Macaca fascicularis: one gene and its partner. The protein of the gene in region 1 interacts with the protein of each later gene in a pairwise test. Links are inferred from orthologs where the notes say so. Each region holds a gene or a part of one and is shown on either strand. Other genes may lie near its edges.

What was found. The genes of interacting proteins can lie anywhere in the genome.
Region 2: the proteins of ESRRG (region 1) and NR0B1 interact in binary tests that used the Homo sapiens proteins (3 or more experiments, as listed by UniProt). The link is inferred for Macaca fascicularis from reciprocal best matches to the Homo sapiens genes ESRRG and NR0B1.

What each region holds. Positions count from the first base shown.
Region 1 is NC_088375.1:74,372,874-74,376,373, forward strand, and holds part of ESRRG (estrogen-related receptor gamma), read right to left. Parts: intron 903-3,500; coding exon 792-902; intron 1-791. UniProt on the Homo sapiens protein: Orphan receptor that acts as a transcription activator in the absence of bound ligand. Binds specifically to an estrogen response element and activates reporter genes controlled by estrogen response elements.
Region 2 is NC_088395.1:30,316,413-30,320,376, forward strand, and holds the start of NR0B1 (nuclear receptor subfamily 0 group B member 1), read right to left. Parts: upstream 2,801-3,964; 5' UTR 2,774-2,800; coding exon 1,606-2,773; intron 1-1,605. UniProt on the Homo sapiens protein: Nuclear receptor that lacks a DNA-binding domain and acts as a corepressor that inhibits the transcriptional activity of other nuclear receptors through heterodimeric interactions.

The DNA.
Region 1 (3,500 bases):
CTATTCATAAACATCTGAAAACGCTAGTTCTGTTGCACTACAACTACTAACTGATTTTCAGAAAATGGGATACAGTGATTGCCTCAATCTATATTCCAACTCTTTTTAGTTAATGGCAAAAAGCAGGGGGCTTGCATTTCAGCAATGTACCAGTCATCCTTTCAAATTGCAGCTTGGCTCCATAAAACCATGAGCTCTTTAAAAACAATGCATACCGTACATAAGGGCACCTCAGATGGAACCAGCAACCTATGCTTGTTATTAGCAGTGCCCATTCTTGTTTTAATCTATTGCTAGCTAGTGTGTTAACCTTCTATAGCTCCAAATTAATGAGGCCCCTAATGTATTTTCATTGGGAGGTTGAGCAGTCAAACTCATTTAGTTAGTGAAAACTACAAAAATCACTTTCTTGTGAAATCTGAATCTAACAGCTCCAATGAACTAATGATCACAGTATGATCCATTTTATGTACCTCTGCAAATAAAGATAACCAGTAAATGTAAAATTCACACTATATAAGCTATGCATTAATATGCTTATGCTTCCACAAAATGACTAGGTAAAAAAAGGCTGGAGAGAGAAAACCACAGATATCTCTAAAAGAAAAAACAAGATAATAAGTGAGTTCCTGTCGCTCCTCACAGACAATCCTTGGGAATAGAGCCACCGTTCTCCAACAAAGAGAAGTCTCCTTGGAGTCAGTAGGGATGGGCATGCCAAAGTTGATGTACATAGAGCCAACTGGGAGGATTTCATGTTCTGGGAAGCCAGACACATCTGCTGTACTTACATGGCTTTTTGGCTGGCTGAACCAGCTGAGGGTTCAGGTATGGGCTGTTCTCCGCATCTATTCTGCGCTTGTACTTCTGCCGACCTCCACGTACTCTGTCAAGACGCACCCCTGTGAGCAAAGACAGGCAGCAGCTTACTATTAAGGTAGCTATGTTTGAGACCAATCAAATACATAGACAGTATCCCCCAAGGGCACATAGTTGACAAACAGTAGAATGCTGAATGAACCAGGAGTACTCAAATAATGTAAATAAGTGGTGGCTAAATCAAAATTGCCAGAGGTTGAAAACCAAATCTACAAGTAGATGACAGATCCAAAAGACATTTATGCAAAGCCACCAAGGTCACTATTTGCACATCAAAGAAAAGGCAGATTTCCATGTAGATTAATACAAAGAAGCCGCTATTTGGTGCTAGTACAGTTTCTTATATTAAAGACACTGGCATTTAGTATCCTCTTCATCAGTCAGCCCTGAAAGCTCAATGTGTAGCAACGAGTAGACCAAGAGCTATCCAACTTTCCTCCAGTCTGCCAGAGGCCTCAGTGTGGACATGTGGAACTGAGCTGAATAAAGAGCACCTATGTGCTGGGGAGGAGGGAGGCTGGAATTACACTACACAAGATTCAGTCCTGAGAGACACAAAAATTGTTCCATATCAAAATGTCAATATGTCGCTGAAGGGGAGTGTTATTTACATTTTGGCACAAATTTGTATTTCCTCTCATATGTGAGAAAACTGAGAGCAGGTTTGGGCTGAACACAGGATAGAAAGAGGAGCTTCCCGGCCAGGTGCGGTGGCTCATGCCTGTAATACCAGCACTTTGGGAGGCTGAGGCGGGTGGATTACCTGAGGTCGGGAGTTCAAGACCAGCCTGACCAACATGGAGAAACCCCATCTGAACTAAAAATACAAAATTAGCTGAGTGTGGTGGTGCATGCCTGTAATCTCAGCTACTCAGGAGTCTGAGGCAGGATAGTTGCTTGAACCTGGGAGGCGGAGGTTGCAGTGAGCTGAGATTGCGCCACTGCACTCCAGCCTGGGTGACAGAGTGAAACTCTGTGAAAGTAAGAAAGGAAGAAAGGAAGAAAGAGAAGGGAAGGGAAGGGAAGGGAAGGGAAAGGAAGGGAAGGGAAGGGAAGGGAAGGGAAGGGAAGGGAAGGGAAGGGAAGGGAAGGGAAGGGAAGGGAAGGGAAGGGAAGGAGAGGGAAGGAGAGGAGAGGAAGAGGGAGGGAGGGAGAAAGGGAGGGAGGAAGGGAGGAAAGGAGGGAGGGAGGGAGGAAGGAAGGGAGAGAGGAAGGGAGGGAGGGAGGGAGGGAGGAAGGAAGGAAGGAAGGAAGGAAGGAAGGAAGGAAGGAAGGAAGGAAGGAAGGAAGGAAGGAAGGAAGGAAGGAAAAGAAGAGCTTCCCAAAGAATTTGGAATGCTTGGATGTCAAAGGAAGGGTATGTTAATAGGAGAGAGCTAAAGGGTGAAGTTGGAAAGTGGGCAAAAGTAAACTGGGAGGAATAGAACTTTTTCCAAATAGTGATTGGTTGGGTCAAGATTCAAAGGGGATTTTCTGGCAGTGGATTTAAAAGATTAAGGAAAAAGCCAAGGGAATGAATGGGATTGCAAATATAGGAAAACTTCAATAATATCAGGAAGTGATAGGGAAGAGCTTGTTAATCCAGGTTCCAGCCTGTAATTGTAAAGTTTAGCACAGGACCATATAAATCCCTACCAAATATAGGGATGATTACTTGGGAGCAGAATTGAGGAGACACTCTTTTGCAGTATTACGTTGTACCTTAATTGATGTAACAATGTAAAATTATCTATTAAGAAGTTCAATCATGTAATTAATAGTACATATTTTGACATTTCTCAAACTGTTTAGGAAATAGATCTGGTTTAACAGCATCATCAGTATTACTATTTTATTTAAGCCCTCTCAGAGCCATTAGTAGGCGATGGGGTCTGTAAAACTCTAAGAGGAAGCTACATAGCACATGCAATGTTTTGCAAACCAATTGAACCAGAGCTCCCACTTTTTTGGAATACTGATTAATGTCATGCAGAATACGCGAGCTGTGGGTTATCTGAGTTACATGAAACTATTTGGGAAAAGCAGATCTATTTCTATGTGAATATTTACGGTGAATATATTACTCAAATATTAAAGATTATTAGGAAAACAATTTTTAATATTATCTTAATAATACTACTTTAAGAATTGGTTATCTTTTAGCAGAACACACAAATAGTTGGTTATAGATAAAGCCTGAATTGTCATATTGAAACCTCAGAATATAGTATAAATAAAATCAGGAGACAACTTTGAGAAAAGTTAAATAGGTTAAACAAACAAATATCAAAAACCAAAGAAGTTAGGTAAGGTTATTAAGCGTTCACTGAAAATTGCCATGCATGTTGGTCACAAAGAAGTTATATTTCTTTATTGCCGCTTTTAAAGCACTTCATGCCTACAGCATATATGTTCCTTTGTTCATCTAATTCCTAATATTCTATTTTTATTGCATCTATATTTAATAAAGTTTAATGCCTTCTACTTCTCTCCACTTTCATCATGATTTATTTTTTTTTTTTATCTCTTTCTCTTCAAACTTTTCTTCAGAATATTTTCCCAGTTGAAGGTGACCACATTTTATCTGGTCATCGAAGATACATTCAAACCTGTTTCATTACAAGAATTTTGAAAATTCAAAA
Region 2 (3,964 bases), on another chromosome or scaffold:
GTCACAGATGATTCTCAAGATAATTTGGAAAACAGTCTTCTTATTCCTTCAGCTAGTATTATTAATCATCCACTACGTTCCTTGTCCTGTTGGGATATAAAGGTGAAAGGGGCTCACCTTCCAGAAATTTACATTCCATTAGTTTCAGTATCAATAGTTTCCCTCTTTCCCTTGACCCTGTTTTATATACTTTTAACACACACACACACACACAGACACACACACGCACACTTCTTCCTTGTTCTTGATTGACTTTTCCTAATCCTTTCTCAGTATGAGTTTAACCAGCTAAGCTGAGTGTGTTTGAAACTCAAATGTACCTATATTGGGGAGAAAGGTAACGCCTATTGAGACTGTGGCCTCTCTTTGCTGTTTGTCTTTTGTATATCCCATATAATAAATTTAAATATATTAAATATATATATTAAATATATTTATATATATTATGCACTCTCAAAAATGCTAGGCAGGGGGCCAGGACATAATCAGAGATTCCAGCACCAGGGAAAAGATACAAAAGGAGCATTATGGAAACTATCCCAACTCAAGTTGCCTGGAAAATTTTTTTCCACTTCAATCATTTCAAAAGGACGCTGGTTGAAGATGATTCTAGTAGAGAGAAACACCCAAGACAAGGTGCCTGGCTGTCCAGGGAGATGTTCCCCCAGTGATTTGGTTGCACCCTGTGGGACAGTGTGTCCTGCACCCAACAGACAACCTGAAAGTTTGGTGCAGCCGACATCCCACAGGGCCCAGAAGATAGGACCCTCAGGTGCCACAACACACCAGCCATTTACTTTGGAGTAAGGTCACTTGGGACCTTGGGACACATCCACCTACACAGTAAAATGCGGTGGGGGAAGGTTACAGAGCAAAGGGGGTTGATTAGGAGGTCTCTAAAGTCTCTTTGAATTCTAAAATACAGTGTTCCTGCTCTCAGTCCCTAAAGTGACTTTTTTTTTTTTTTTTTTCTTATCCCTTTGCCAACCTGATATTCTTCACAGAGATTTGGAGGAAGGGATAGTCCAGATGCTTAGGACCATACAAATAACCATTCAGAGGCAGGCCTATGAAACACTACATCCAGTGTACTGTCTGACAGTGTCCCTAGGGAATAGTCTCTCTATGGGACCCTTTAACAAATGTTTCCTTTTTTGCTAGCCCTAATAGATCTCCTCCCCCCAAAAAAAGGTTCTAGTAAATTTCAGAATGGAGTTTCAGAAATCGATGTCGCAGAATCTTCAGTGAGCAAAAACTTTTTTTAGAAAAAGATATGCTCTGGACTTCAAAGAAAGCTAAAGAAAGAATAACCATTTCCCATGAAGGCACAAACTTTTCTGTAGTAAGAAACGTGTAAAGAGCTAAGTACAAACCTAAACAAACAACTCCCCTCCTCTTGGCTGAGTTTCTGACAGCAGCCCACTCAGGAGAAGTGGTTCCTGGAGCCCCCCACCCCAACTCTGCTGAGTTAGTCATGATTTCTTCACCTTTGTCCCGACACTCTCCTGATCACTGAAAACTCCTTACTGCCCGCGCCCCTAGATAGGCACTGCCTGATGCTTTTGTGAGCTGGGAAAAGCCGGCGCCCAAGGCCAGTACCCTTACCCGGGTTAAAGAGCACGGTCCCCTTGAGGTAGGCGTACTCCTTGGTACTGATGTTCAGACTCCAGCACTTGGAAAGAAAGCACTTGATGGCTTGGACCTGGGAGGCGGAGGGCACCTTCCTGGCCTCCGCCGGCGGTGCCAAATGGGGCTGCAGCGTGGACACGGGCAGTGGCTCGTCGCCCCCGGTCTCCCGCCGCCTGGTGGTGAGGATCTTCTGCAGCATGCTGGGCTCCGAGACTTCTACAGTCTCGAACTGCAAGTGGTCCTGGGCCAGCTCAAGCATGAGCAGGGACGCCCAGCAGTTGCGCACCAGCACCAGCTGCTGGTCCAGGGGCAGCACCTGGAAGCAGGGCAAGTACTTGACAAAGCGCAGCGTCTTCAACAGGCCAGCTGAGGCTGCCTCGCAGACCACCTGTGGACTCTTGAGCGCCACTGGCCGCAGCGCACCAGAGGAGGTGTCCCACCAGGGGGCCCTCGGCCGCTCCTCCGGAGCCGCCTGCACTTGATTTGTGCTCGTGGGCATGCAGTAGAGGGTGCTGCCCTGCTGCGGGTGGTCTTCACCGCAAAAGCAGCAGCGGTACAGAAGCCCCATGACCCGCCCGCCTGGTAGCGCCTCTCTACCCCCTGGCCTCTGCGCGAAGTAGGAGCGGTCCCACCACGCGCCCACTGGCCGTGCCTCGGGCGCTGCCGGAGCCACGTGCGTTTGCTTTGCGCTAGTGAGCAAGCTGTAGAGGATGCTGCCCTGCCGCGGGTGGTCTTCACCACAAAAGCAGCAGCGGTACAGGAGTGCCACGGGCCGCCCACCCGGAAGCCCCGCTCTGCCCACCCCGGGATCAGAGCCGCACGAACAGCCCCAGCACGGACCCAGCGTCGCCTCGGGCGCCTTCGGTGCCGCGTACGTTTGCTTTGCGCTCGTGAGCATGCTGTAGAGGATGCTGCCCTGCCGTGGGTGGTCTTTACCGCAAAAGCAGCAGCGGTACAGGAGCGACACGTTCCGCCCGCCCAGCAGCCCCTCTCTGCCCACCCCGGGCTCATCGCCGCACGAACAGCCCCAGCACTGATCCACCAGCCGCGTCTCTGGAGCCTCAGGAGCCGCGCGCGTTTGCTTCGCGCTCATAAGCATGTTGTAGAGGATGCTGCCCTGCCACTGGTGGTTCTCGCCCGCCATGGCCCGCGGCTCCTGCAGCCCGGTTCTGCCCAGTGGCTGCCTCCTGGGACCTATTTATACCTAGCGCGCACGCAGGCGCGTCGGCCGCCTCGGTCTGGGCAAGGGCGCGGAGGCGGGCAGGGGGGGCGCGGTGCTGCGCTCCGGTGTATTCGCCCATGACCTCGGTGGTTCGAAGGGGCGGGTGTTCTTTAAAAGCTGAAAATGGAAGAGGAACAGCAGCGTGGGAGCTCCTGGACACTTCCCTCCTTCCTCTCATTACCCCTTTCCCTGTCTCTCAGGAAGACCGGAGGAGAGCGAGCGCCTGGATGCTGTTGCAACTCTTTCCATTGAACCTCGCATCTAATTTGTTCCCTTTATTGGGAGGGTAGGGGAAAAGAGGAAACATCTACTTCTATGCTCTTTGTAAACTTTCATTAAATTTTCACAGTTTGTGAGACTCATATTTGTATATGGATAGGGAGGTCTCATTTTCTGAGACCTTGAAAAATACAGAACATAGACAAACATCATATGGGAACTCGGTGGAAATGCCCAATGTCAGGCTCCAACCAGACTTTCTAACTCTGAATCTGCATTTTAACGGTGTCCCCAGGGATTCACATGCACCTTGACGTTTGAAAAGCACTGGTCTAAATATGCTAGCATAAGCGCTCAGTTTAATTCCATCAGTATTTATAAGCGCCCACTATGTCCTGGATGCTGTGTTAAGAGAGCTGGGGGCAGCGAGCAGGTTGTAAAAGTGCCTAAAACTTAGGAATATAATAATCACGAGGGGATAATATTGTTACAGTGAGAATCGTTTTCATTTTAGTATATGGTTTTTTTTTTTTTTTCTTTTAACTTTTAGGTTCAGGAGTATATGTCAGGGTTGTTATATAAGTCAATTGCTTGTCGCGGGGGTTTGGTGTACAGATTATTTCGTCACCCAGGTAATATAGTATCCAATAGGTATTTTTTCTCATTCTCTCCCTCTTCCCACCCTCCACCTTCAAGTAGGTTCCAGTGTCTGTTGTTCCCCTCCTAGTGTCCATGTGATCTCTTTATTTAGCTCCCACTTACAAGTGAGAACATGTGATAATTTGGTTTTCTGTTTCCGCGTTATTTCGCTAAGGATAATGGCCGCCAGCTCTCATTCTTTTTCATGGCTGCAGCGAGAAATTTTGATCCTTGTAAAAGTATTCCATTGGTAAG